Rhinolophus ferrumequinum: one gene and its partners. Each later gene encodes a partner of the first gene's protein in a complex. Links are inferred from orthologs where the notes say so. Each region holds a gene or a part of one and is shown in the gene's direction. Other genes may lie near its edges. The genes, in order: EPC1, MEAF6, MORF4L2 and KAT5.

Evidence for each region.
Region 2: EPC1 (region 1) and MEAF6 share a complex: the UniProt entries of both Homo sapiens proteins name them as parts of the nuA4 histone acetyltransferase complex. The link is inferred for Rhinolophus ferrumequinum from reciprocal best matches to the Homo sapiens genes EPC1 and MEAF6.
Region 3: EPC1 (region 1) and MORF4L2 share a complex: the UniProt entries of both Homo sapiens proteins name them as parts of the nuA4 histone acetyltransferase complex. The link is inferred for Rhinolophus ferrumequinum from reciprocal best matches to the Homo sapiens genes EPC1 and MORF4L2.
Region 4: EPC1 (region 1) and KAT5 share a complex: the UniProt entries of both Homo sapiens proteins name them as parts of the nuA4 histone acetyltransferase complex. The link is inferred for Rhinolophus ferrumequinum from reciprocal best matches to the Homo sapiens genes EPC1 and KAT5.

Annotation. Positions count from the first base shown.
Region 1 is NC_046288.1:3,683,439-3,691,165, reverse strand, and holds the start of EPC1 (enhancer of polycomb homolog 1), read left to right. Parts: upstream 1-4,590; 5' UTR 4,591-4,877; coding exon 4,878-5,030; intron 5,031-7,727. UniProt on the Homo sapiens protein: Component of the NuA4 histone acetyltransferase (HAT) complex, a multiprotein complex involved in transcriptional activation of select genes principally by acetylation of nucleosomal histones H4 and H2A.
Region 2 is NC_046292.1:26,210,975-26,218,230, reverse strand, and holds the start of MEAF6 (chromatin modification-related protein MEAF6), read left to right. Parts: upstream 1-4,084; 5' UTR 4,085-4,147; coding exon 4,148-4,237; intron 4,238-5,412; coding exon 5,413-5,528; intron 5,529-7,256.
Region 3 is NC_046284.1:51,249,149-51,257,094, forward strand, and holds the start of MORF4L2 (mortality factor 4-like protein 2), read left to right. Parts: upstream 1-4,755; 5' UTR 4,756-4,774; intron 4,775-5,870; exon of another isoform or gene 5,871-6,053; intron 6,054-7,439; 5' UTR 7,440-7,511; intron 7,512-7,946. UniProt on the Homo sapiens protein: Component of the NuA4 histone acetyltransferase complex which is involved in transcriptional activation of select genes principally by acetylation of nucleosomal histone H4 and H2A.
Region 4 is NC_046294.1:6,048,553-6,056,049, reverse strand, and holds the start of KAT5 (histone acetyltransferase KAT5), read left to right. Parts: upstream 1-4,360; 5' UTR 4,361-4,375; coding exon 4,376-4,553; intron 4,554-4,874; coding exon 4,875-4,943; intron 4,944-5,034; coding exon 5,035-5,171; intron 5,172-5,437; coding exon of another isoform or gene 5,438-5,464; coding exon 5,465-5,620; intron 5,621-5,709; coding exon 5,710-5,784; intron 5,785-5,881; coding exon 5,882-5,956; intron 5,957-6,271; coding exon 6,272-6,520; intron 6,521-6,595; coding exon 6,596-6,685; intron 6,686-7,497. UniProt on the Homo sapiens protein: Catalytic subunit of the NuA4 histone acetyltransferase complex, a multiprotein complex involved in transcriptional activation of select genes principally by acetylation of nucleosomal histones H2A and H4.

The DNA of each region.
Region 1 (7,727 bases):
AAGTTAATTCATTTACCTTATTCTTTGCTTTCAGCATACAAACATGCTCACATCTCTCCCACCTTCAGAAATAATAAAACCAGTGGCCTGAATAGCTACACCTCCCTCTCCGTCTCCCTTTCCCTCTCCCCTCTTCCCGCCCCCTGCTCCCCCCATTGCCAAGCCTCTTGAAAGAGTAGGCTACAGTCAACATCTCTCTTTCCTCACTTCCAGTTCATTCCTCACTTTACTTTATAATCTGGTTTCTGGGCTCCACTCTGGAACCAGACACCAGGTATTCTAGCCTCAGCATTGCCTCCCACTAGCTTTGTGACCATAGGCAGGTCTCGCAACCTCTCTAACAGGACACACCTCGTAGGGCTGTCACAAAAATTGTACATTTAAAATGTACTTCTGCATTGCCTGGCACATAGTAAATGTTCAAAAATGGTAGTTATTATTCTTACTGATTAAAAGTGTAATAGGAATTCACAGATGAAAAACATTGGTATAGGCTTAAGAATTATTTTGAATTCACCTACCCACTCACTCATTCTTCAGATTAGGAAATTAGGACTCAGAGAGGTTGAGTAGTCAAAGAAAGTTGCATGAAGGAGGTGATAGTTGAGTTGGATTTTGAGGGATAATAACAATAGTTGATATCTACTGAATGTTTTCTGTGGGCCAGAGACCATTCTAAATGCTTTACATGGGTTGTTTTATTTAATCCTCAAAAATGTAAGGTAGCATTTCAGTAGAAGTAGATGGTCTGCAGCCAGACAGGAAGAATGGAGAGAAAGGAATGAATAAAAACCTGGAGGCAGGAAAGACATGCTGATTTCTAAAGATGAGGAGCTTGTCTTAGGTGGTGATGAGAAATGTTGTTGGATATACAGCGAGGCAAAATTATGAGGCTTTGACAACTATACCAAAAAAAAAAAAAAAAGCAAAGGCTTTGTGGAATAGCAAAATAAAGAGCAGTTATAAATAAATGACATGGGGAAGGGAGGATACAGATGGAGGTGGGGTTTTGGGCACTTGGATTTGGTGGCATGCATTATGAAGCCCTGAAGGCAGTTTGAACTGTGTTCTTCATAGTCCCAGGGACCCACAGCTTGTACTAGCCACTGTGGGTTCCCTTTAGCCACTATTAGGAGAGTACTAGCATAGTTTCTTGTAAAGTAGGAGCTTAATAAAGGTTTATCAAAGTAATGAATTAAAAAATGGATTGGAGGTTGTTTGTAGGTAGGACGTGATGAGAACTGAGATATGATTAAGACAATGGGAATGGAAATAATGAGTCAAATCCCAGAAACAATTTTAAGAAGAAATAAAAGGACTTGGGCACATATTGGACATAAACTAACATGTAGAGCCATACGTCAGGTTTATTATATGCAGCAAACTGCAGTGCATTTGACACATTCTATTTTGTTGTTTAAGCAGAAGTTCTGTATTTGATACAAATTGAAATGAATCACATTTCAGGGTAATGATACTATAAGTAGTTTCATTTTTACCATTAAAACTTCTGTCTCTTTACTTTCTACTCCTACTCCCTCCACCCAAGTTCTTACCAGTTTTACCCGGATTGTTATTGGAGTTTCCTATGAACTCTGGCCAAGTAAACTTTCTCATCTTCAAGCACACCTGCCAGTTTCCTCCTCCCACCATTTTGTTCACACTGTTGCTCTGGACCATGACTACCCTTTCTCCTACCATTTCATTCCCATTACCAGTTGGGATCTTAGTCATTCTTCACAACCACATCACCTGCTCACTTCTCCATGTCTGATCAATCCAGCTAGAACTGACTGCTTTCCTTCTGAACTCCCTGACTGCATTTCACCATGCTGCCTTGTTCTGGTCATTTGATTAACCTTTATCAGTATTTTTATTTATATCCCCTACAATGATGGTACTGTGTGTTGCCTAGGTATTCAGTAAATATTTATGGCATGAATCAAAAGTATTTTAAATACTGCAAATTCCTTCCCAACAAAAACTTTCCCTTTGAGGAAAGGTTAGTGTATTCAGTTTTACGCTAGTATGCATCTTTTGTACCATTGAGAATTTTATGTCACCATTGTTGGAGATACTTAGAAAAAGAGGGAACTTTAGGGGAATAAAAGGAGTTAACGTGAAAGACTGTGCAGGATTAGCCATTTGTGCAAGGAAACTTTTGGTTAGATAAAGGAAGCTCAAGAAAATTAAACCTGAACCTTTATTGCTGCACTCCTGCCCCTTAGAAGGTAGGGAAGTAAACTGAATATAAGAGGTTTGGGACTCCAGCCTTTGGGTCCTTGGGAACCCAGTAGGACCTGGAAGTCAGAAATCCAGAGCATTGAGGCTGGATGAGGAACCAGTGCAGAAAGAAGATGCCTCCTAGCAGGCATGTTATCTGCAAAAAGGGCAAGCTTAATTTGTAAGCATATATCTCAACTTGCTGTGGAGGGTGATGCTACAATTTCTAGGGAACAAGAAACTTAGTTGTATAGTGCCCATTATTACTAATGCAGGGTGTGGAACATGTTATCTGTAGGCTGTTATTTTAATGAAGGTTAAATATTCTATGTTCGTTTCCTTGGTGGTTCACTCATGACTTAAGACTACTTTGTTCTATAAAGTCTTAGGTTCCTCAAGCAACCAAATTCAACTAGTAGGATTTTCAGAAATCTAACACAGTCGGCTGAAGAGGACTGCTGTACTAACATTCAGCCAGAATTTTCAGAACTGTTAAACCTGGCTTGATAGGTGTCTTATTCCACAGTGCAGTTGACAATTCTTGAGGATCCCAGACTGTGACATTGTCTCTCATGACTTGGAGTCTTTGCACATGCTCCTTCCCTTGCCTAAAATACCTTTCATCTCTTCATTTTTCTGCAAGGTTAACCCGTACTTATCCGATGTATTTTTTTCTCAGATATCATCTCCTCCAAAAAGCCTTCCCTGAATGCTTTCATTAGAGCCACTCCCCATGGATTGGGTGCCACTCCTGCCTGTTCCCACGATTGCCTCACATCAGTTGTGGCAGTTGCCATCCACAGGTCCTTCTCCCACTGTGCTAGCTCCTCCAGGAGCCTTATGGGTGCTAAGTAACCAGCAGCATACTTAGGCCATGAGGGCCCAATAAATGTTTTTCATTGAAAGATTAAGTGCACAGTCTTAGTATAGGAAGTATAAATGGAAATCCCTCTGCCTCACAGAGGTGAATTGTCAATATTAGAGTTTTAGGATAATTTTGGAGAACTCCAGTCTCTGCTCACCTTGTGTCTTCCCCACCAAGGTGTAGCTAAATCAGCCTGAAAGACAGCAGTGTGCCTATGGGCTGTAAGCTAGTAACAGTTCCTATCCAACCCAGTATTTGAGTAATGATTATTTTTACTATGTAGCCTCCAGGGAGAAGAGCAGACTTAAAGAAACATTTTTGTATCTCAGTGAACATATGAAATTTTGCTGCCAAACTGATTAAACCCATCCCATTAAAACAGTCTTTCTGATTTTTAAAATACTCTGCTGGAAAGAGCTCTCTGGGCATAACCGTTTTCGTGTGTAATATAAACCAAATATTAACAATCTAGCACATGCATCTAAAGCTCTCTAATACAGCTTTTCCTTTACTCTTTTTCGGTTTGGCAGGAGCACTACAGATCTTTGTATGATTCAATTTTATAAAGTTTTTCAGAGAATAAATGGTGTCAATTCATTAACTATGTTGAACTAGCATTTTCTTTCAGTACCAACAAAAATCATGAGCTACAAATGGCTCTAAAATTTTGAAGGTCTTACTTTAATTTTTTTCTTAAACATTTATCTGATAATAAATATCCCCTTTGCTTCAATTGTAATAAAAGAGTGAATATGAGTAGATAAAATGCAGGATTAAAAAAAAACCCCTACTTTATATCAGAGTAGGGTAACAACCGTTTATATTGAGCCCGATAGGTGGGAACTGACCAGTGATTTGTTGCGGAGCCTCTCAAATATTATAATCCATTTTCCTTAGACGTAAAAATAATTGCTGGCGAAAGTTCACCTGAAGTAGCATTTTGCCCCTAATTTCGTTTGCATTTTGTTTTAAGGACCTAAAACGCAGCGATAACTATGTATCACCCACAGACTGCCATCGGTGCGCAGCGCCCCCGGAGCGCCGCTCCTAACCCCACCGCCCACGGCCGTGGCCTCCGGCATCGCCCCTGCCCCGATCCCGGCTGCGAGCGGGGGTGACAGGTGCCGGAGCTCGCCTGTCCCGGGCAATAGCGCCGCCCAGCCAATTCTCCCGCCGTGGCCATTCGGAAAGCCGGCGTGCGGTGCACATAGTTTCCCTGCACCTTCGCCTGTCAGCAAACGGCGCTGGGAGCGAGCGAGCGAGCGTGAGAAAGTGAGCGAGTGCGGGCAGCGAGAGGAGGCGCGGGGAGTCGGCTCCCGGCGTCCGAGCGCCCACTCCGCCCCGGCCGCCTCCAGACCCGCAGAGGGCGGGGGCCTCGAGCAGCCAGGCGCGGACAGCGCGGCCGGCGGGCGCCGGGGGTTGGCGGGACGCGCGCTCCGTGCCGGCGCCCGCTCGAGCCCGCGCTCCCCCCCCCCCCTCCGCGCCCGCGTGCCCGCGCCGCTGCGCGATGCAGTGTGGGGAATGGCTGGGGTTGGCTGAAGAGCGCACAGTGGAGTTTTAATGTCCGCCATGTTGGCCATGGCGTATTGAAGAGAGCGAGCGAGAGAGGAGCGGAGCGGCACAGCCTCCCACCCTCCCGGCTGCTGTTAGTGCCCGGACGGCGGGCTCTGCGCTCCGCCCCTCAAGTCCCCGGCAGCGGTAGGCGAGTGGGGACCGAACCCCCGGTTCTCCATGATCCCGCTGGCCGGGGCCGTTTCCCCAGAGCGGAGAGGTATCTGCTGCGCCTGAGATGAGTAAACTGTCGTTTCGGGCGCGGGCGCTAGACGCCTCGAAGCCGCTGCCGGTTTTCCGCTGTGAGGATCTGCCCGACCTGCACGAATACGCCTCGATAAACCGGGCCGTGCCGCAGATGCCCACCGGAATGGAGAAGGAAGAGGAGTCGGTACGTGTTAACTCCCCTGTCCGACCCACCGCCAGGCCCCGCTCCCTCTGCTGCCTGCGGCGGCGGCGGAGCAGCAAACCCACACAAAATGGCCGCCATCTTCTCTCCGCCGCCGACTCTCAGTCGCCGGCCGGGCCTTTACCCCGCCTCCCCCGGCCTCGACCCCCAGCCGCCACGGCCCGGCGGGGTCTCCACTGAGGCCACCCGCCGACCCCGGCCACTTGTACCCGGGTCCCACGGAGTTCGGGAACCCAAAAGGCACAAAGGGGTCACGTGACGAAGCTGCCGGCAGCCATTTTGTGGTCTCAGTTGTTGGGTTGGGCCTTGTGCATCCGGAGAGGAACGGGCTGGGTGGCGGTGGGGGTGCGGCGATCCGGGAGCCGGGGAGGACCCGCCTGCAGGCCGCTCCGCGGGCCGCTGGGTGGCGCTCTAGGGCCACCTCGGCCTTCGCGCGCTGCCGGCGCCGGGGAGCGCAGATTCTGTGTCCTGTAGGGGTACTTCAGTTCCCGGTGGCGGGGAAAGCTTGTGAGGCTCAGTGCGGCCCCCACGTGGAGCTTCACAGGGGCATGTAATGTTGACTGTAGGTCTTTGAGGCTTGTATCTCCTTCCCTGCAACGAAATGTCGAGGGTACTGCTTGTTTGCCCAGACGACTGACTTTCATAACATGTAAGACTCATTTTCTGTATCCTCGTTCTGGGACTTTTGCATCCATCCCTTCCCAAGTCTAGTTAGTCGGAGGATATATAAACGTCCCTGAGTTTTCCTTTGATCCTTGAGAGTATGTTGCAGGTTTTTCTTCTGTTTTTTTTGGAGTGCGTGGCTCTTCTAAAACATGTAACTTCATTATTATTGGGTTTTTTTAAAAATAAAATTTAAGTTCGCATGCTTTCTGGTTTCTCAACGTGGGGAGAGAAAACACCCAATTTAAGTAGATGTTACAGATCTAAATTTTGAAAGAGGGACTTTTCTCATCCAGAATCGAACTGAAGTGAATTCATTCACAGAAATCTTAACATCGAGATACCTAATTTAGGTGGGTTTCAGTATTTAAATATTTACAGCTAATAGACATTTGATCATAGCTGTGGCTTTACCTTGTTATAGAAGTTGGGTTTAGACACAAGGATAATAGAATCTTCCTCTCATTTCCCCCAGATCCTTGACAGTATAACTTGATGACTTCTAATCCTAAGGAATTGCATTCCTTGGTTTTCAGGTACAGCCATTTAAACAGGGTGCAGTGTATTGACAGTTCAAGGAAGTCGAGGAGTCGCTGGATTTGTGTGCTACAATTTTGTTGTGGAAAATTGTACTGTAATACCTCTATTGGTAACTGTAAGAATTTTAAATGTGGAAATTATGCTCTGTAATGTTGATTTTGAAAATAAAGCTGTTTAAACTGTTTGGGTTGTTCAACCTTTTAAAGTAAAATAGTTGTGACAGTCGAATGTTACTTTTGAGAGTAGTGTCTGAAATCTAACTACAGATAAGCTAAGTGTTAAGTGTATGTAGTAGTTGAGATTGTCGGATGTAGTACCGACTTGCAGCACATTATGAGACAGAACTCTAAATTTACTTGTATCAACAGAGTAGAATGGTGCCATTTGTTCATTTTTAAATGAGTGATTTGTTTTTAAAAATTAAAGTACTTGTGACTGCAGAATGTTGTCTTTTGGTTTTATTTTTGTTTCTATTTTTAAGTTTTACAGATAATACTTGAAATTTGGGGTATTGGTGTTACACTGCCCTGGAAATTAATTTGTAGTTCTTGTTTTGCAGCCAAGGAAGGGGAGAACCCTGGTAAAAGCAAGATAGCACTACAGTACACTTTAGAAATTTATTTAAGTCTTGCTTTAGTTAAGTCTTGGAGAGGACCAAGAGCTACAACCTGAAATCAAAGCTGAGATCAACTCAGGTAGCAATACGCTTGTTAAATATTACAGATAATTTTTTCTTCACTGAAATACTTTGACATTTTATAGCGCAGTGGATCTCATTAGTTTGTAACACACGTGGAGTCTGTTTGCGGGCCATAAGAGATTTTTTTTTTTCCCTTCACTACCTTTTTCTATCCTCTGTTTCACTTCACATCCAACCAAAACTATGATCAGTGAAGCATAGACCTCAGGAATAGATACTGAACTTAATAGAAGAATATAAACAGTACCAGGTAAACAGCTGTTCTATATTCCTGTGGCTCATGCTGGTGGTAGTGGCTATATAAATCACAATATTGAAAGTAGCATGTTACACAATTAAGAAAATGTGTACTAAGCATAAATAAACGTAATTGAATTCTGACTAAACCTTAGAGAAACAAATTTTTTTTTAATAATTTGTTGAAGCATGATTTACTTATAAAGACAAAAAGTTTAAACAAACTTTTGCCTTTGACACATTAGTTGGGGTGTCTCTTAGGTTGAGTGACCTATAACCTTAATTGAGTGTCTCGTTTAGAAAAAGCATAATCCTATGTTGATCATGAAAGATGGGACAGTTTTTGGATAAGAACAGTTTTGTATACACCACTTCATTAAGAAAGTATTTCATGAAATGATCAAAATGTATCTGCAAAACTGTGAGGTGAACTATACCTGGTAATTTTTACCATAGTTTGTTTCTATGGTAAACTTGAGAGAAATTCTGGAAAAGGAACACTTAATATACTCCCATGTAACCAATTTTTATAAGCTGAA
Region 2 (7,256 bases), on another chromosome or scaffold:
CAATTTTAAGACAGTTAATTTGTTCACATGTACTCTAAAGTTTTACAGTGAATTAATTCACTAAATCAATAGTTGCATAAGCTTACCATGCTCGCATTTGATTTACAGCTGTGAGTTAGAAGCAGGGAGCAATAATTTAGAGGTGGGCTGCACCATGTGCAAGAGATGGCATTTAAGGTATGCCTTAGAAATGAAGTGGATTTTGCATCAGTAGAGGAGGGCATTGTTTCAGACTGAGCAGTCCAGGGGACAGCAGAGCTGGAGTGGAGGATGTGGAAAGGATCCTGTAACATTAAGTTGTTTACCTGAAGACCCACAGCAAATTAGTGGTAGAGCTAGGATGAGAACCCACCTCAGTCCTGGTTCAGTGGTCTTTCCTCTGGACTGTGGCTTCCCATCTCCCTAGCAGAGCTTAGTGAAGAGATCTGAGGAGGGAAAAGACAGCTGGTGCATTAGGCTGTCCATTCATAGGGGGTTCAAGGAAATCACAATGGCTGGGATTTCCAGGGATAATGAGGGGCTCAGGCAAATCCTCACCTCACCAAGTCATAGCCAGAGCTGCTTGGAAATCATTATGTTGATTCATAAAAGTAAACAAATGTTCAATAATCAGGTAGCTGAGAATTGCCATGAACTGAGACCTCAATGATAAAACTGGCTAAAACTTAGGCGTACTTTCTATGTATAAGGCATAGTTTTAAGCATTTTACATGTACATTGATGCATACCTTGATACCTTCACACTTCTTCCTCATAATCCTACGAGGCAGGCTTCTTTTATCATTTCATTTTGCCGATGCAAAAACTGAGGCACAGAGTTGTTCAAGTCACACAGTGGTAGGTAGGACCGGGATTCAAACCCAGTCACCCTGGTTCCAGATGCCACATGCTTAACCACTGTGATATACTGCTTCTTAGAGCCATGAGAGTTAACAAGATCTGGCCGTCAAAGAGCGATATAACCAGTGCTAGAGCTACAAACAGTGCTAGCGAGGAGAAGCAGTGGGGATTATGGAAGAGAATAAGTATAAGCACAGAGAATAAGCACAGAGAAATAGTATTCAACCAAGCCTTAGTCAGTTACTCAGAAGAGGCCAGTGGGGATGAGGAAAGAAAGGAATATGAATTTCTAGGCAGAGAGACTAGCACTCAGAAAGATCTGAAGTAACAAACTAATGAAACTTTGGAAGCACTTGAAGTTCAACAGGGAAAAAAGGGTGAGTGAGACTTCTTTCTGGTTTCTGAACCCTCCTGCTTGAAAGTAGCTAAAATTTCTGGATAAAATATAAGCAAAACAATTTCTTAAAGCATTCAAGAACCTACAAATTAATAAAACAGTTGTTAGGCAAAAAGTGAAGATAAATAAGAATCCAGAGAGAAATGGACTGTAGATGTCTGGAAGCCACATTTGGTCTAAAGGCAAACCACATTTGATTCTAGGAAATCAGATCTTACCCTAGCTTGAATGGGACAGAAATCAAAACCCAAAGCCCACAGGCAATAGTCTAATAGAACATGATTCCCACAAAAAGCTGGTCTATCAGAGGTCTATAACTTTTAGAATAAAAGAGTGGATCAGAAATTGAATCTTCCCAGGTATTTATAGCCTGGAAGCTCAGGAAACCTCGGGCCTTGAACTTGGTTTAGGATGACCCGGTGCCTCCAGGTGTCTGAAACAAATGAAATTCATCTTTGGAGGAAGGGACTTTTTTATCTCCCCTCTAGTTATTTCCACATTTCCCCCCAAAGATACAATTATTTTTATTAATGAACAAGAAAAGGCACTATAGGTGAGAAACAACAGAAATAACGGGTTGGCCCGGTGGCTCATGCTTCTAACTCCGAGGTCGCCGGTTCGATTCCCACATGGGCCAGTGAGCTGCGCCCTCTACAGCTAAGATTGTGAACAACGGCTCTCCCTGGAGCTGGGCTGCCATGAGTGGCCAGCAGCCAGCGTGAGCCGCTAGATGAAATGGACCAATTCTTCAAAAACCATAAACTACCAACATTTACCTGATAGGAAATAGATTATCTGAATAGTCGTACAGATATTAAAGAAATTGAACTTGTAATTAAAAAGCTTCTGAAAAGAAATATCCACACCCAAATGGTGGAAGAATTCTACCAAACATTACAAGAAGAATTAGCACCATAGTGTACCTTCTTTTCTAGAAATTAGAAAAACAGAAAATACCTCCCAACTTATTTTATAAGGCCGTTATTATTTTGATACCAAAGTCAGACAGGAAAGTACAGACCCTACACACCAATACCCCATGAACTTAGCCACAAAAATCCTCAGTAGAATATTAGCAAATTGAATCTAGCAATATATAAAAAGAATTACACAACATGGTCAAGTGGGGTTTATTCCAAATATGCAAGGCTGGTTCAACACTTGGAAACGAATCTGTGTAATCCACTACACCAAGAGGATAGAGAAGAAAAATCACAATCTGACAAAATTCAGATTCAGGAAAAGAATCTGACAAAATTCAATACCATTCATAATTAAAAACTGTCAGTAAACCAGGAATAGAGGCGAACTTCTCAACTCGATAAAGAGCATCTACAAAAACCTTACAGCTAACATCACACTTAATGGTGAAAGACACTACTTTCCTAAGACAGAGAAAAGGTTAAGGATGTCCACTCTGACCACTCTTATTCAACAGAGAACTGGAAGTCCCAGCCAGCACAGTAAGGAAAGGAAAGGAAATAAAAAGCACACGGGGTGGAAAAGAAAAAATACAACTGCCAATTTGAAGAGGAAATGATTATCTGTGTAAAACATCCCAAGGAATCTACAAAAACACCTCCTGAAACTAATAAGGGAGTTCAGCAAGATCCCAGGTTACAAGATCAACACACAAAAGAAATCCAGACTGTAGCAGAGAGAGACAAAAAAGATAGTGGGTAAACAAAATGAAGGATTATTATGTTTAATCTAGAAGGAGACAGAAAATGAGGCAGAGGCATTATCTGAAGGAAAAAAGCTGAGAATTTCCCAGAACTGGTGAAAGATACCAAACTATAGATTGTAGAAACCCAAAGACTTCCAAGTAAGGGGAAAAGGAAGAAACGAGGAAGGAAGGAAGGAAAAAGAAAGGAAGGAAGGAAAGAAGGAAGGAAGGAGAAAGGAAAAAAAGAGAAAAAAGAAGAAAAAAAATCCTATCGAGATTAACGATAGTGAAATTTACATAACTGAAAATTGGAGAGCGCTGAGGCTGGAGAAGCAGGGCCCAGGTGAAAACAGTGAAGGAGACTGCACTTAATGAATAAAGCTAACACTCACATAGTCCTTATTACTTGCTAAGCCCCTTTACAGACATAAAGTGATTTACTCCTCACAGCAATTGTATTAAGTAGGTACTATTATTACCTCCATTTTAGAGATAAGGAAGTTGAGACAGTGAAATTTGGTTACTTGCCCAAGGTGGCTCAGTTTATCAGTGGCAGCTAAGGTCGGATTTTGAACAAGGTAGTTCTGGCTTCGGTTTTCGTTCTTAACCACCACACATACAGTACTTGTCTCTCTAAAGGGCAATGAGAAGCCATTGAAATGTTGAAACCAGGGGAGCGACACATTCGTTTTCCAAAAACAAGTTATCCTGGCACCACTGTGGATGAGAGATTAAATGCAGTTTAAGTGTGGAAACAGGAATCTGTTGGAATAATGTAGCCAAAAATAGGGAAGGCCGGGATGCCCGAGGGAGATGGCAAACACAAGTAAATAGATTTGCGGGCTCTTCCAGGGTCCAGGGAACTTCGTTTTGTATGGGATGAAGGGGGTGAAGGAATGAGGCTGATGCCCAGGTTTTTGACTTGGGCAACTCGGCGGGCCGTTTAAGTCATTCGCTGATGTGACTTAGGAGGAGTCTGGTTTTGGCACGGTGAATTTGCAGCGCCTGGAAAAGTCAGCCGTCCCTGAGGGGCAGAAATGCCTGTAGTGCCAAGACTAGCAGATTGCCCCACCACCGCGGGCCTCCAGGTGAGCGCGCGCGGGACCGAGGCCCAGAGCGCCGCCAGGCCGCGTCTCCGGAAGCCGCGAGCGCAGGCGCAGTGCGGCGCGGGCGCCCCCTGGCGGGCGGCGGCGGGCAGGGACCGCCCCCACCACCCGGCGCCGCCGCTGCCGCCTCAGCCCAACATGGCGATGCACAACAAGGCGGCACCGCCGCAGATCCCGGACACCCGGCGGGAGCTGGCGGAGCTCGTGAAGAGGAAGCAGGAGCTGGCGGTGAGGGGCTAGCACCGGGGACGCACGGCGGAGGATCCGCGCCTGCCCCCACCTCCAGGCCCCAGCCCCGGCGCGCCAGGCCGTTAGGGCGCTGCGCGGCGGCCGACAGTCCGGCGGCCCGAGGCTGGGCTGCGCATTCCGCGGCTCGCCGGCGCCTCGGCTTCCTGGCTATGCGGGAGCCCGGGCCCCGAGGGCGGGGCGAGAAGCCAGGAAGAGGAAGGAAGACGGGGAAGGGGGACTAGGCGGGCGGGGGGCGTGGAGGAAGGATGGCGCGTGGGGCTGGGGTGCTTAGGTGTGGGAGCCGCAGAAAGGCAGTGTCCGTGAGCTTTGGGGGTGGGTGAGGGCGGGCGGGTTCGCAATCTTTGAGTGGGGGGGGCGGGCGTGTCGGTGGGCTGTAGGGGATTGGTTCGGGCTTGCCTGTGGGCTTTGGCGGGGTGGGGTAGGAGGCGTCTGTGGAAGGGGGACCCAGTCATCCAGTCTGGTCTTTGGAGGATGGAGGGGCGCATGTCCTTTTGGGAACTAGGAGTAGATCCATTGGATGGAATTTTTGATGGGCAGGGATGTGATGTGTTTGGGAATATCTAGAAGGTGACAGCCGAGGGGAGCGGATTCAATCTAGGGAATAGGAATGTGACCCAAGGTCTCATGCACCCTGGTGGCTAAGCCCTCCCTACCCCCCTGAGTCTTGGCTTGGGCACCTGGGAGGCTCATCTCACCTGAAGCTGCCCTTCCAAGTTTCCATAGCAACTGGCTGACCATTGCAGGCAGCCTTTTTGAGCCTGCGGGGAGGGGAGCGACTTGGCGCTGGAAGGCTACTCGCCCTTCCCTCCCCACTGGCATTACCTTTTATGAGTGGAGCCTGCCTGAGCTGGGGTTTTTGACAGCTGTGTTTCCATGAACCCTCTGAAGTATACACAAAATTTTGCATGTATGTACATTTTTCAGGGGACAGGCTCTCTATATTTCATTCTATTCTCAAAAGGATCCAACAAGACAGGTCTAGACTGTCTTAGTCTGAAACAGCTTGTCCCTTCACATACCATCTGTCTCTCCACAAGGGTAGTTGAGTGTAGTTGTGCTTGAGTTTCTAAGTCTAATATTAAGGTTTCAGTTTGGTCAGACTTAATGTTTGCATTTAAAAGGCATTATCCGTTTCCCTGTTTTTCATCTCTCAGGAAACACTGGCAAACTTGGAGAGACAAATCTATGCTTTTGAAGGAAGCTACCTGGAAGACACTCAGATGTATGGCAATATTATTCGTGGCTGGGATAGGTATCTGACCAATCAAAAGTGAGTGTCAGAAAGAGTACAGTGTTTGTACTGTGACCTACTAATACTTGTTTTTAATGCTGTATATATTGGTGGCAACTTTGCAGGGAGGCAGAACTAAGTAGCAGTGTGGAAAGAGGTTTGCGCTTGAACTTTGCACTCTGGCTCAGCCTCGCTGAGTCATCCTAGACAAAGCCTACATCCATAGACTGGTCGATAGTACAGGGGTGTGAGAAGCTGAAATGAAATACAGCCTATCCTACCTTACACAACAGCATTCTCTTAGTGTCTTCCACATTTTAAGCAGTCATGAGTTCCACCGTCACAATATTTGCCAGACCTGTGTGCCAACCCTACCACTATTTATTTAGTGCTATTAGTCTTGAAAACTTTCTAAACTTTTTGAAATTTTTAAAATCTATAGAAAAATGGAAAGAATAGTACATGAACACTTGAAACCCTTCGCCGACATTCACCGATTAACTTGCTGCATTTACTTTCTTGCTCTTTTCTCTTTTTCCTCACTATTATATAAACACACATACCTGTATTTACATTTTAAAAACATTTTGTTTAAATTTTGAAATCATTATAGATACGTAGGAAATTACAAAAATACTACAGAGAGGTCCCATGAACCCTTCACCCAGTTTTCCCCAGTGGTTTTTGTGTAACTATAGTACAATATCAAAACCAGGAAATGAACGAGTACAATGTGTGTGTGTAGTTCTGTCATTTTATCATTGTGTATAGATTCCTATAACCACCACTGCAATCAAGATGCAAAACTGTTCCATCACCACAAAGATCTGTTATGCTACCCTACCCCTGTGTGATTGTATCTCCCTTTTGCCCTATACTTTGGGTTTTTTTTTTCCCTAAACCATTTAAAAGTTAGAAACAGATATCATGACACATTGTCCCTAATTATGTCAGCAATTATCTCCTAAGAATAAGAACATTTTTCTTAGTTAACCACAGTTATCATGTCTAGAAAATTAGCACTACATTAAAAGTATCTTCTAACACACAGTGTTTATTCACATTTCCCTAATTGTCCCCAACATGCTTTGCTACCTTGTTTTGATCCAGTCAAAGTTTTTCATTGCATTGATGTTTCTTTGGTTTCTTAATAAGAGCGTCTTCCACCCTTTTTGTTGGTGAAGTTGTGGTTTACAACATTGTCTTGTAGATTGTCCCAATTCTAGATTTTTCTTACTGTGACCTCATGAGCGATCCTTTAAACATTTTTGGCAGAAATGTTGCATTAGTGATTTGTGTACCTCTTGTTTACCTTTATTTTATTAGGCAGCACATAATGTCAGATTGCCCCATTATTGGTGCTGCTAAGTTTGATGATATGATTTCTCCATTATGAAAGCTTATTTTTTCTCTTTGTAATTGACAAGTAATTTTGGAGCTTATACTTTTAGACAGTGGGAATATATTGCTCCCCACAAATTTTATTCACTGGTTTTATTATACATTGTTGATTCCTACCTGAATCAGTTATTATACTGGAGGTTGCAAAATGGTGGTTCTAATTTTACTGTTCCTTTTACATTTATTACTGGTATTCTGAAAGAAGAGCCTTCCCCTTTTATCTTCTCTCCCTTTCATTCTATCTCTGTCTCTCTTTAGTATCACTATAGACTCGTGGATTTATTTTTAAATCGGTGTTGGGATCTAGTGCTGTCACTTTTTTATTGTTGAGGTTTTATTTTTTAGTATAAATTAATTTATTGAAAT
Region 3 (7,946 bases), on another chromosome or scaffold:
GGATATAAAACGTTCCCAAGACGATTTCCATTGTTTGCCCTGTCTGTCCTGGGCTAGCAAACTAGACTGAAGCAGACTAATTTGCTGAACTGGTTTTAGGAAATCCCTATGGAATGAGGCAGGTATAAATAGATAGAAAAACACTACTATTAAAGAAACACCATTCTGCTTAGCCTTGAAATATTAGGGTTTTTTAACTTAAATTAACCAAACATTCTTTTAAAAATCATCCCATAAAGTAGTCAGAACCAAGTGAAAAAATATCCAATTGACCTTAGAAGGGAGCAATTTTATCTTCCACCCGGAAGACAGGCGAGGACACTGATGTCCCTGACCACCCTCCAGAACAGACTGAGCACTACTTTCCAGACCTAGGAAGGCTCTCTTAGCCGCGAGGTAAGATACGCAAAGCCAGCAGATACTGATGGCCAGGGAAGGTTGCACCCTGCACAAGATTACCCAACTGAAATGGAACAAGTGGAGGTTGAAATTCATTCTTCAGCTGCCCTGGTGAAGCTCCAACATCCCTGAGAAGGAAAAGTATTTTTCTCATTGTTCCACTGATCATTTGTTTGCACAATATCTGCCCCCCAGGTGTCACATGCTTCTGATCAGCACAAAGGGATTGAATGAGCAAATGTGGCCTCGAAAAGTGACATAGAGATCTTGGAGCCACTGAATGTTCTGTAAAGGCTGGGGCTGTAAATAGTCTTGTTCAGGCCTTGAAGCCAAACAAACATTGACTTACGCTATCTTTCCCTTCCAGTTGAAGCAGATTGTGAAGACAGTGGTTCAGCTGTAAATTCCAAAGAAGAGTTAACTCCCATTTTGAGGACCCACTAAGAGTCAGGAATCTGCTGAAGCTTCATCCCACTAGTAAGTGGAAGGGACAGGAGAGTATTCACATTTGAGACGGTAACATGGCACAATGGGACAAAAACATGGGCTTGGGAGTCAGAGAGAAGTCAGAATCTTTGTTCTGACATTTATTAGCTGGCAACTTGGAGTGAGCATTTAACTTCTCTGGGCTTCAGTGAGGATTCACTAAGACAATCGATGTAAAGAGCTGAGCAGTGCTGCCTGGCACATACCTAGAAGACATTCAGCTGTGTCTTTTCCTGCTACTACCCTGACTCGGAAGTTAATTCACATTATTCACACCCTTGGCCTTGAGACCTCAGTCAGTAGAGCACAAGGATGAGTCTACTAGACAGAATATGGAAGCGAGAGTCAGGAGATTTGGGTCCTAATGGCAGACGCATCCCCGTTATAGTACCTTGGGTAAGTTACTCCCCTCTCCTGACCCTATCAATAAAACCGGAGAACCTGCCTAGCTCTGATGCTGAAAGGAAAGATCAGGGAATCACTTTTCTTGGGCACATGCCATGAATATGCACTATGCTAGGCCCTTTTACATACCTTATATAGTCTAAATCAGCACTGTTCCATAGAACTTTCTGTCATGGTGGGAATGTTCTTTATCTCTTGGTATCTAATATGGTACCATTGGGGAGGAGGAGAATCCCCCACTTTTACCCTTCTTTAGTTCTTACAGCTGGACCAACAGTAAAATAATAAAATTGACACAAGACTAGATTTACAGGGAAAAAAAACAATTTAATACGTGCACACGAGAGAATCACAATATGATGCTCAGGTCACAAAACAAGGCTCAAAAGGAAGTCAAATATATGGTGACAGAAGGAGACCTGACTTTGAATGGTGAACACACAATGCAATATATAGATAATGTATTATAGCATTGTACACTTGAAACCTATATAATTTTATTAACCAATGTCACCCCAATAAGTTTAATTAAAAAATTATCAAACTAGGCACCTTTTTATTTTTTTAGACAAAGAAACAATAATTCTGTGAGCAATGAACAAGACAAAGAAAGTTAGTGCTCATTAGAAAGGAATCTAAGCAGTTTGGGCTTAAGTAGTAAATTAGTAAAGGATTCACAAAGTTTGTTTATATAGGCTTTTTTGATTCTGGATTTTATAACTCTTGTGATAAGGTTGTCTGTTAGCCCTCAGGAGAAGGGAGAGCACCTATTACATGGAGATTTATTTCCTGCTTTTGGAGAGTCAGAGAGCTCCTCCTGCTCCTGCTGCTTCTCAAGTGATTTCAATTTGAAATAATCAATATGCCATTGTGAGCTATCTTGGGGAGGCCTGCCCAGGGACCCGCCAGTACTAACACTAGCCATAAGTAGCTACTGAGCCCTTGAAATGTAGTTAGTGCAACTGAGGAACTGAATTTTTAATTTTAATTCAAATTTAAGTACCCATATGTCTAGTGGCTACCATGTTGGATACTGCAGCTCTAAGATTATGAGGAATAATTATTCCCACTTAATATACAGTGAAACTAAGGCTCAGGAAAGTTAAAGAACTTGTTGGAAGTCACATAAATATTAAGTAACTAAATGTGGGGACAGAGCCCCAAAAAGCAGTTTCCAGGCTCTCGGCCTCACATAGAAAGGTGCTGGCTCAGGTAGTAAATGGCCATTGACTGTGATCAAATGGCCAGCAGCTGTGGCTAGTTGGCCATCAGCTGTAACCAGTGAGCCATTAGCCATGAATATAACTGCCGTGGCTAGGCTAGTAGCAAAAAGAGAAAATGGGGGCTAGCAAGAAGATGGTGGCTGAGCCTGCAAGCGGCACAGTGAGGGTTGAGAATTGTGTTGCTCCTGGTTCCTGTGTCTCCAACCCAGCCGCCAGTGAGAGTATAGTGGTGTGACTCCCCTACCTATGGCTCCGTGGGTGTTCCTTTTTGGCCTAGCCATATCCTGCGTTCTTGTGTGGGGAGCGGGACCAGAGACCCCGCTGGACTCTGCGCACGACACTAAATCACATTGAAAACCAAGCAGTAGAAAGTTTAGCAGGGTAGTACTGTCAGATATACCAGGAATTACCCGGGCTCTATTTCTTACAAGTTATATGACCAAAGAAAAATAATTATAGGCTCTGGGGCTCACCTTCATGATCTATAAAATGATGAAAATCCTTACCTAATTTACAGGCCTATTGTTGGGATTAATGGGCACAGAGCCATATAGTGTGGCCCATAATAGGCTTGCAACAACTGTGTTTCCTCACCACCCTGATTCCCCACACACACATAGGAGAGGTTCAGAAATAAACTAAAAAAGATAACTGCAGGGTAGAGAGCATTTGGGAAATATAAAAGCAAGAAGGGAAACACATGAGCTTTAATGTGATAGTATAGAATGGAGATGAGGGAAAGTATGAAATCATTAAAATATTTCCATTTATTTAGTTTGCTTTCCTGCCCCCTTCTTGATGCTCCAGTCAACATAGCTAAAGCAGAGAACAAGGTATCTGTAATGTATTTTAAGGCCCAGAAAGATAAGCTATGATGGCTGAACAAAAGAGTACTGTCAAGGGCTTGGGCTCGAGAAACAGGTGAAATTCTTATCCTGGTTCCCATAGTTGTATGCACTGAGAAAATAATTTGACACCTCTACACATTAGTTTTTAATCTGTATAACGGGACTGATAATATGCAGGGTATCTCAATAAAACATATATCATTTATTATTTTGCTTTAAATTCTGTAGCACCCTCTAGTGGAGCAAAGAAAAATAAGCACTGCATCTCTGCCCTCCAAAGCGGTGGTTCTAAATTCAGTGTGCATTGCAATCACCCAAACAGATTGTTATAACAGCGACAGCCAAACCCTACCCCTAGAATTTCTAATCCACTAGGTTTGAGATGGGGCCCGAGAATCTGAATCTGACAACTTCTCGAAAAGTGATAATGATGGTACTGACGTGTTTGGGAAACACACTGAGAACCACTGCTCTAAATCCCGCCTCCCTCCCAGTGTGTGTGCGCGTGTGCGAGCGCGCGCGCGCGCATGATTGATAACTGAAAGAGGTATAACTTTTGTTGTTCGATTTTGATTTATTACCCATCTAATAAGGATTTTGTGAAGAATAAAATAACATATATGTAAAGGATATGACACAGCATCTAAAATATGGAAAGCATGCAAAAACCTAAGGAACACAGAACATAAATCGTTTGCCCGGGCTTCTCAGAGCTAGTAAGTGGTGCAATGGGGTTTAAAATTAGGTCTCTGACTCCAAAGACGTAATAAAGTTTAGCAGTACCACTACAGAAAATAGGGCGCAAACACACATATCTAATAAAAATTTCAAGAGGAAGAGAAGGTCAGTTTTCAATGCCAGGGTCCAAGCTCTTATCTGTCTTTACTGACTAACCAGCCACCTGTTATTTTCTGGGGTTTCTTTTTTTTTTTGGGGGGGGGGGACGGGATATTGAGCATTTGAAAAAGTGCACAGAAAGGTTAGGATCTTCATCAGCGTTAGTGTCTGGTGACATTCATCAATTCTTACCGTCCCCCCTCCCCCAAAAGAAAAGGCAAAGAAGGAAGAAGAGAGGGATGGAAGGGGGGCTTTTTTTAAGGAGGAAAGAAATGAAAAAACCTTTAGATCTAGGGCCATAGTCCCCTGTCTAGAGCTATTTATAAAAGCTAATTTGATTTTCCCTAGCAATGAAAGATATACATGATCCCTATAGATTGAAGAGTTCAGAAATCAGAAAGGGGGAGAATAAAAATCCCATCATTCCAGGGACCAAATAGGCAATTCTTTGCTGGGATTTGGCGGCACCTCGTGGCAGACTCAAGAGGTATAACCCTCACCCAGAGAACTTTCTGGAAAATTAACTGAGTGCGTACTTGCTTAAAGGGCACTGTGCTTGGAGATCAGGACAAAAAGGTGAGAGCTTCCGCCGCCACAGAAATTCGGAGCTCGTAGTGGAGGGGAAGCCTATCGTATAGATATTTTCAGCAGAAAATTTTGTTTGTGCCAGAAAAATTACACGGAATTGGGGGGGGGGGGTTCGGGGAAGAAGTGGAAGAACGATACTAGCAAACAGGAAAAGCTGCTCCTTGGAATTGCTAATATGGGAATGCGTGGGTTTGTTTGGCTCTTAACCATCGGAGGGCTACGGTTTAGAAAAGGATTGTGGCCGGAAAAAGTGAGAAGTACATTTTTTAGGGTCTAAAATTGAATCGATAGGGGAGACCGAAATATTTCTAACAAAGGCCCGTTATTTATGATGGGCGCCGTGGCTTGTTTTCCTTTTCATTAGAACAATTTTCAAACATAAGAAAATGTTCAGTATAGAGCACGCACACGCGCCGCGCACGCACACGCACGCAGGCACATCCTCGCTCTGGGACACACCGGCCCCGACTCTAGGCGCGCACGCTTGCGCATACCCACCGCGTCCAGCGCCACGAGGGCTGGAGCGCACGCACCCCAATCCCAAGACCACGCGAGCTCGTCCGCGCACATCCACACTAGCCCCACCACCACGCGCCCGCACGCCCACCACCCCCGTTGTGCCTCTTTTTCTCCAAGAGTTGCGCAAGTGGTTCAGGGGCGTGGCCCCAGATTTGACCTCGCGCTTCCCCACTCGCGGGAACCTTAGCTCATTTCCGCCCATCCTGTTTCCGCAGGCCACGTAGACACTTCCTTTCCCAGTGGGGGGAATGAAAACCCATAATGCCTCCCTGCAAAAAAAAAAAAAAAAAAAGAAAAAAAGAACCTCTGGTCAGGGGAACTCTGGGTCGTGAAAATAGGCCACGTGAACACCCTGCCCTATAGACTTATGACCCAACTACAGTTGCGATTTTGGAGGGTGGGCTCAGAACCTAAGAGGGTGAACGTTATTGGCCAGAGCCGCACTACAGGGAGAAGATGATTGGTTTGCGTCAAGTCTTAACCATGAAGAAGCAGGTTGCTAGCACCCCCTTATACTGCGGCGAAGTGTCATTGTGACGTGATTGGCCTCGTCCAATCATTTGGTCATGGAACATTCTAAAACTTAGACAAGACGACTGTGATTGGCTGAAGGTCATGAGCCCGCCTCCAGGGTGACGTGTCTGCCTATGGATATCAGTTGCCAGAGAAACCTGGCTTTACTATGGCGGTTCGAGGGACGGCAGTGAGCACACGTCGGCTGCTGGAAAGAGCTGGATTCTCGTTTCAGGTTTCGGGGTGGGGGTGGGGAGAAAGGGTTGACGATTTCCTCTTCTCGTCGAGTATCTAGGCAAGATTAACTCATGGCTTCACGATCGGGCAGAGCTGGATTCAGATTCCTACTCGCCAACGCCCAGCTCGGGCTGGCTCCTTTCTGTGTCTCGGTTTCCATGTTTGTAAAATGGTGATAATAATAGTATCTACCTCAGAGACGTGTACCTCAGAGGCGTGTACTATGTATATTAGTGCGTATAAAGCACTTAATGGGAAGCCTGGCTCCGAAAGATGTTAACTGTTATTGTGGACAGAAAAACCTGCGTAACAGAATGAGAAAAAAACAAATTATGTAAATTTGCTCATTATAGTGCTTTTCCTGCCCATCAACTTATTCCCTAGAAGAAACTAGAGATATAAGAGAAACATAACTATCTTTATTGGTGAAATAATATGCTATTTGGGAATTACCTCAAAATAGCGGGGATGGGAATTTTCCATATTGAAAAGTTTAAAAAAAGGGGGGAGGGGGAGAAAGATGGAGAACGAGGGCGAGCTGGAGATGAACCACATGCGATGAGTAGGCCTTGTTTGGATCCTGATTCAAACACACCAACTGTAAAAAAAAAAAAATGTTTAAGATGCATCGGGAAAATTTGAATACGTATTCGATATTTGATGTGTTTTTAAGGAATGGGTGTTGATTTTTTAAGACGTCATAATGGTATTGTGGTTATGTTTTCAAACTGTCTCTATCTTACAGAGATATATACGAAAATGCGGATTAAATAATAAAATGTCTGCGATTTGCTTCAAAATACGTTGATGACTAGGATTTGCTTCAAAATAATCTCAGCAATAGGGGGAAGTTGGGGGGGTATAGATGAAACAAAATTGGCTCTTAAGTTAATCGTTTAAGCTGGGTGATAGGCATATAGAGTTCCTTATATTGTTCTGTCTTCCTTGGTATGTGTTGGAAATTTCCCATAAAATACAGAAACTCAGTTATTTGGTGAGCTTAAAAACGGAGTTGGGGGGAGCAGTGGGTGGGGTTATGGATGAAACAAGATGGCTTTCAGTTGGTAATTGTTGAAGCTAGATGATAGATTCTTGTGGGTTTATAATATTCCTTCTACATAATTTCAGATATTATGCATTTCACATTTTCCCTAATGAAAAGTAAAAACCAAAAGCGAAAACAAATTACTTTATCAAAAATCAGGATAGATACAATAAATTTGAAAATGTAACCACAAGAACTGAAAAAGAAACACTTGTACATTATTTATCAGCTTTGGTGCCCTTTGTGTGTGATAAAATGCATTGATTGACAGAGAAGAAAACCATCATCTCATATCTCTTTATTTTGTGCCCTTTCCCGTCCCCTTGTTTAACCTTCTAGGCCATTATCAGAAAAGCTAAGTTTGCTGTATAATAAGGATCAGAAGATCTGATCCTGATTACAGAATCTTAGGTAAGTGTCTCCCTTCTCCTGGCCTCAGTTCTCAAGCAAGATCATTCCACATAACCTTCTTAACTGTCCAGGAATATTTTAAAGATTAATAAGCGTCTATCTGGGAAATCACTCTAAATTCTGAGTAGGGTGGAGCTGAGTCCATTGGTGCTTCCAGTATATAAAGTGCCTAAAAAACAGAGGACTGTGTAATTTTACATTCCTTGATAAAAGATACTACAATTGATCCCTGATAGTTCCATACATCCATATATTGTTTTTCTTACTTTGTGGCATCCCATATGCAGCATAATTTAGTGATTAAGAGCAAATGCTGACTTACTGAATTTAAATTAAATCTTGGCTCTGCCACTTAGCTGTATGATCCTAGGCAAGATACTTACTTTGTCCCTAAATTTCCTCAAAAGTAAAATAAAGATAATAATAGTTCCTACA
Region 4 (7,497 bases), on another chromosome or scaffold:
CCATCCACACTAATTTAGATGCAGCGGAGGGAAAAGGGAAGGGCCCGGACCTCTTCACATGGCGGTGCTTTGGTCACTGGGCTAAGCGTGTCCTGCTGCACGCAAGGGGCGACAGAAGCTCCGTACTGCGTCCGCTATCGCGGGCGGACCGGGCCGAGAGCTTCTCGCTTCCAACTCAAACACCAGTTTAAGGTGCATCACACTGCCGGCCCTCGGTGGCAATGGGTTAAGCATAAGGCGCCCAGGGGTATATCAACTGGAGCCTCGTCTCTGCCACCTGACGCCTGTTATCTGAGAAGGTCCGGAACCCCCAGGGGCCGCTTAGAACTCGCCGTGTCTCGCCGCCGCACCCCACGCCGCCCGTCGTCTCCCTAGGACCTCCTGCAAGGGACCAGCCGTCGGCTAAACCATTTCCACTGATTAACTGTCATGTGATTCCTCAGGGGGATATTGTCCCCAAGTTCAAGCCCTAGGCGGCGTTCGTGCGGGATGAGGGTGGAGGCTGGGGCTGGAGCACCCTCCACCCCCGACCGGTTCCTCATCCCAGAATGAGGATGCTCCATCGCAGGCGGTGGAGCCTTCTCCAGATGGAAAAAGACTTTATTTTCTCTGAATTCGTTCTAAATTAAGGAATCTTATGGGAATTGGAAAAGATTGGAAATTCTGACTTGCTTTACCAGGCTCTGAAAAAACAGGAAAAGAAAAGTGAAAATAGTTACCACCCCTCCCACTCATTTCAGTTTCTCCTGTGGCTGGCCAGGATTAGGAAAGTCAGTTTACTTTTTTGAGGAGGCTGACTTTTCAAGTCCACAGAATGGGTTACTTATAATCTTTGGTTAATGACACACAATCATCATTGATCCTTGCATGATCCTCTTTTAAAAAATTCATATATATTTGTAACAAATCAATAAATTGAATTGTTGTGCTGACTGTAAAACTCAAGGGGCTGAATAGGACACCACCAGAACTTACATCTATCTCGGTGCTCCACATCTGTCCATCCCCTCATCCCGGTGTCCAGGGCACCACCATCTAGAATTCTCTGTTTGTTATTCCCTTGACGTTTTTTTTTAAAGAAAAAAAATTTACTCATATACATGGCTACACAAATATGTTGCTTGGTTTCGCTTACTTTTGAACTTCTATGAAGAGAGTATCTTGTTTTTTGTTACTTGCTTTTCTCACTCAACATATTACTAAGGTTTATGTTTCATAGTTCATTCACTTTTTACTGCTACATACTATTCTGTTGTGTAAATACACCGCAGGTTATTTATTTATTCATCCTGCGGATGGCCATTTGGACTTCCAGTTTTCACTATTACAAGCAGTGTGGTTAAGAACATTCCTGTGACTGTCTCCTGTTGTACATGTATCCAGGAGTTTTCTTCAGTATATACCTAAAAGTGATTTATTAGGGTATAGAATTTCCCATTATCAATTTTCAAAATAATGCCTTGGTTCTCTAGCATCCTCCAAAATTTAATGCATGCATTTTAAAAAAGTCTTAATGCATGGATTTAAACACTTGATATGCTTTAATCTGTTTTAATTATTCTTATTGAAGTTCAAATTGTTCCATCTTTGGCCACTGGGAACCTTCTGAAGTTGGTTCTTCGGTCCTTTTGACACAATTCCAATAGTGTCCAAGATCTGGAATCAGACAGCTTTCTGAGGAATTCTGATTCCTTTTACTGGGAAATGGTATTTAGAGACCACAGTCTGAGTTCTAGGGATACTTATTGCTAGTGGGTCAATCATTATGGACCTTTTCAGTGAACAGTTAGGCAATATATATGAGTATGTATATTTTTATATGAAATGCACCAGGAATTCATACTCATATCTCCTTTTCAAGTTTAGGACTACAGGGTTTTAACTTAACCTCAATCATCTTACATATTCTCTCATGTCAAAAAAATCTCAATTCTCTTTTTACAGAAATAGAAAAATCCATCCTTAAGTACATATGGAACCTTGAGGGACCCTGAATAACCAAAACAATCTTGAAAAAGAAGAACAAAGTTGGAGGAGTCACACTTCCTGATTTCAAAACTTACTACAAAGCTACAGTAATCAAAACAATGTGGTACTGGCATAAAGATAGACATATAGACCAATGAAACAGAATAGAGAGCCCAAAAATAAACCCTCACATACATGGTTGAATGATTTTTGGCAAGAGTGCCAAGACTGTTCAATGAAGACAGTCTTTTCAACAAATGGTGCTAGGAAACCTGGCTAGCCACAAGCAAAGGAATGAAGTTGGACCCTTACCTAACACCATATACAAAAACTAACTCAAAATGGATTGAAGAGGGGCAGCCAGTTGGCTGAGTTGGTTAGAGCACAGTGCTCATAACACCAACATCGCCGGTTCAATTCCCACATGGACCAGTGAGCTGTGCCCTCCACAACTGGATTGAAAACGACTTAACTTGAAGCTGATGGGTTCTGGAAAAACACAGTGTTCCCCAACATTCCTCTTAAAACATACATACATACGTACATACATACATATATAGATGTAGCCGGCCCGGTGGCTCAGGTGGTTGGAGCTCTGTGCTCCTAACACCGAAGGCTGCCGGTTTGATTCCCACATGGGCCAGTGGGCTCTCAACCATAAGGTTGCTGGTTCGACTCCCGCAAGGGATGGTGGGCTGCGCCCCCTGCAACTAACAACGGCAACTGGACGTGGAGCTGAACTGTGCCCTCCACAACTAAGATTGAAAGGACAACAACTTGACTTGGAAAAAGCCCTGGAAGTACACGCTGTTCCCCAATAAAGTCCTGTTCCCCTTCCCCAATAAAATCTTAAAGAAAAACAAAACAAACAAACAAAGAAAAAAACAATAGCTAACAGGCAACTAGTTATGGCAGCTAAGGTGCATCTAAATAACGAAACACTATGTAGCCATTAAAACTGTGCTGTAGAATATTTAATGACTAGTGTTCAATTTATGTTGCTAAGTGAAAAAGCTGGTCACAAAACAGTATATACAGGAAGAACCTATTTTTGTATTCAAAAGATAGCACAATAGTTTATAGAGCAGGGGGTGGCCAACATTCTCTGTAAAGGGCCAGATAGTATTTTAGGCTTTGTATTTCAGACACAATTATTCAATTTTAGTGTGAAAGCAGTCATAGACAAAAAGTAAATGAATCAAAAGTATGGCTATGCTCCAATACAACTATATGTGGACACTGAACTTTGAATTTCGTAATTTTTATTTGTTGTGAAATATTCTTTTGTTTTCTTAACCATTAAAAAATACAAAACCATTCTTAGCTCACTGGCTGTAGGAAAACTAGCAAAGGATTGGATTTGGCCTGCAGGCCTTAGTTTGCCCACCCCTAGTTTACAGGACATTCTACCAAAATGTTCATGGTGGAAATGTCCCCCATGATGATCTGAGGTTATTTTCTCCCCCTACTGTGGTCTAGTTTTCTGAAACAGTACTCCGCCCCACGTCCCCTGCACCCCCAACTATTTGCAAGGCTCTTCCGTTGTTCCCTCTCTAAATCTTTCCTTAAGTATATACACTTCCATCAGTCCTGCCCTCAGCACCCTATTTAAAATTGCAACCAACCTGCCCATCTCCTTTACCTTGTTCATTCTTTTTGGTTTCTCCAATCACTTTTGAATAAACTAAGTAATTTACTTTTTAATATATTTACTTTTGTTATATAAACCCAACCCCCAACAATGTAAGCTCTATGAGAGCAGGGTTCTATTTTATTCACTGATGTATTCCAAGATCCTAGAACAGTGCCTGGCACACGTTACATTATTAAACATTTGTTCAATGTATGAATGAATAATGTTGTATTACTTTTATAGTGAGAAACCTAATACAGAAAACAATCTAGAAACCTTCCGTGAGTCCCCATCCTTAACGAATGAAATCCACAAACTTGGCCAGGCATTGAACTCCCTTCATAGTCCCGCCCACTTCTCCAGACCCGCCCCCCCCCGCCCCCGCGAGCACTCGCAGTTCACAGCGAGTGACCTCTCCCACCGCCACTTAGAGACGCTGGAATCCCGCCACCCCCAAAGCACAAACACTACGCCCACGTGACCCGCGCTGCGTCCACGTGACCGGCGTCGCACCCGGTGGGCGTCACGTGACAGACTCAGCTTTCCTCCAATCGTTGTGCCCGTTATGGAGATTCCTCCCAGGACCCAACCCGAGACTTAAAACACCCTATTTTCCCGTCCCCCAAACAGGTCGGTTCCCCGCTTCCAGCTGGGCGGCGGTGTATTTCAAGGGTCTCTTCTAAGGCGGTGTCCGGTGGTCCGGGCCTACTGCACACTCAGTCCCGGAAGTGACGTCTCCCAGAGGGGCCGGAAGTGTCAGTGGAGGGAGGGAAGATGGCGGAGGTGGTGAGTCCGGTGCCCGGGGCGGGGCGGAGGGAGCCAGGGGAGGTGGGTAGAGCCCGAGGCCCCCCAGTAGCCGACCCTGGCGCCGCGCTGTCTCCCCAGGGGGAGATAATCGAAGGTTGCCGCCTGCCGGTGCTGCGGCGGAACCAGGACAACGAAGATGAGTGGCGTGAGTGACGTCGGGGGGCGGGGCTAAGAACCTGAGGGCGAGGGGCGGGAGTCAACCGAACCCTTGGGAGGGGGAGGGGCTTCGAGAATTCTGGGGCAGGCGGGGCGCAGATACTCAGGAGGGGCGTGGCTTTTAGCCACTCCGAGATGGACAGGGCGGAGCGTGGAGAGGGGTTGGCACTGGGTGACTAAAGGGGGCTTGGGTGATAGCTTCCAAGTGCTGGGGCTTAGAGATCAGGCCTGGGGGTGGAGTTCAGGTCTTAGGAAGGTGGAGCCTCATGGCCTGGCGGGTCTAACGCCCCTGCCTATGCTGTTCCCACAGCCCTGGCCGAGATCCTGAGCGTGAAGGACATTAGTGGCCGGAAGCTTTTCTACGTACATTACATTGACTGTGAGTGCTGGGCCAGGGTGAGGAGGGGCTGCAGGGTAGGGTTGGGAGGCAGTCTCTGGCATTGCTTCCTGAGACATCCCCACTGCTGCAGTCAACAAACGCCTGGATGAATGGGTGACCCACGAAAGGCTGGACCTGAAGAAGATCCAATTCCCCAAGAAAGAGGCCAAGACCCCCACCAAGAACGGACTTCCTGGGTCCCGCCCCGGCTCTCCAGAGAGAGAGGTGGTGAGTAGGTCCCCTACTTCACCTCTTCTCTTCTGCCTCCTACTTCTCTCATCTTTTGGCCTCAGTGGCTCCTGGATGGGCTGGAGCAGGCCACACCCTCCCACCCTGGCTTCAGCTTGTAAAGAATGGGGGCCAAGTTGCAGATGTAGCTTCTAGAGTCCAGCGGCTATTCCTGTGTCCTTGAGAGGGCAGCGGGTGGGGTTTGATCACTCCATGCTGAGGAGCCCCTATTCCCCTTCCCCATCCTACCACCATCCCCACCCCAGAGGAAGACCCTGGACCTATCTCTACAGCCGGCCTCCACCCAGGCCAGCGGGAAGACCTTGCCAATCCCGGTCCAGATCACACTCCGCTTCAACCTGCCCAAGGAGCGGGAGGCCATTCCCGGTGGCGAGCCCGACCAGCCGCTCTCCTCCAGCTCCTGCCTGCAGCCCAACCACCGCTCAACGGTACCCTCAGCAATTCCAGGGACCTTGCTTTCCTCTCAGGTCCCACCTTCTCTACCTTCTGACCCACCTTTCTTGGTTTCTCTCTGCAGAAACGGAAGGTGGAGGTGGTTTCACCAGCAACTCCAGTGCCCAGCGAGACAGCCCCAGCCTCAGTTTTTCCCCAGGTGAGTCCTCCAAACCATCTCTTTCTTCTACCTCCCGGTAGCCCCTTTCAGACTCACCTCACAGCCACCCTTTCTGTTCCTACCATCTCACCTACAGAATGGATCAGCCCGTAGGGCAGTTGCAGCGCAGCCAGGACGGAAGCGAAAATCAAATTGCTTGGGCACTGATGAGGTAGGTCTGGGGAAGAGGGAAGCTGGATGAAAAGGAGGAGAGGTGGGCGGGGTGGCAAGTTTAGTGGCTAGTTTAAAAATAAGGAGTGTTGGGCAGCCATGGTGTTGCTGGGATTGGGAGCCAGGCAGAGCTGGTTCAGATCGGTCATTGGGTGATCTTTCCCAAGTTTTGAATGAAAACTTTCCATGTCTTGCATTCTTTATCTGGAAAGTGGGAACTATAGTACTTCCCTCGAAGGTTAGGCTTGAACAAGGAAACGTGTGGGGGAGCTGTAGTGTTTCCCGTAACACGGTGTCTTCCACTGGCCCTGAGCAGGACTCCCAGGACAGCTCAGATGGAATTCCATCAGCCCCGCGCATGACTGGGAGCCTGGTGTCCGACCGGAGCCACGACGACATCGTCACCCGGATGAAGAACATTGAGTGCATCGAGCTGGGCCGGCACCGCCTCAAGCCGTGGTACTTCTCCCCGTACCCACAGGAGCTCACCACGTTGCCCGTCCTCTATCTCTGCGAGTTCTGTCTCAAGTATGGCCGTAGCCTCAAGTGTCTGCAGCGCCACTTGGTATGAGGGGTCCCAGGAGGCCACCCTCCTAGCACCCCCACCCTGCCCCACCCCTGACCTTTCTCTCTTCCTCAGACCAAGTGTGACCTGCGACATCCTCCAGGCAATGAGATTTACCGCAAGGGCACCATCTCCTTCTTTGAGATCGATGGACGCAAGAACAAGGTCAGTGGCTGAAGGACAATAGGGAAATCTTGGAGCTGGGGTTCGGGGAAAGTCAAATGAGCACCTTGTTCCTATTCAGGAAAACACTGAACAGTCTGGCCAGCAGATCAGTTCACCCATTTTTATTGAGTTCTTGCTGTAGGGCAGGTGCTGGGAGGTATAGACAACCAGGAATTGGATAAAATCTCTGCTGAGAGCTCACAGTCCATAGGGAAAATAGACGTGCCAACAGTGTGATAAATGTCATGAAACAAAGGGTGGCTTGTTAGGACCCAGAGGAGCTAGTCATCAAAGCTTCACAGAGAAGGTGACTTATGAGCCTTGACATAAAGAATAAGGTGGGCAAGGGAGTCCCAAGCAGTGGGGTCCTGAAGGGCAGGCGTGGATGTACAGGTGGTGTGACAGGCAAAGACCCTTCTGGCTGAAGGGCAGAGAGAAAGAGGCAAGGCTGTTAGAAGGGACAGAGCTCAAGTGGTGGGTGGGAATGGCAGTTGGAGAGGAGCTGGGAACACCATAGGCTTGGCGCTTCAAACCTGCCTTAGTCTATGGCTGTGGAGAGGAAGGAGTAATCTGGAGGGACCCTTAAGAGAGACTTTCCTCATTCCTGGGGTCCAGAGGGTGCTGGGGGAGAGGCAGGCATCTTGACTGGCGGGGGAGAGCTCTGGCTTGGGTGCTGGGGGAGCTTGAGAGGAAGTTGCTGCTTTAACTGCTGGTTCTATATTATAAGTGGGGACTTGGGCGTCCAAGTGACAGTGCCCAGCAGGTGGTTAAGGAGCCATGTCTGGTGCAGGAACAATTGTGTTTAGAGGTAA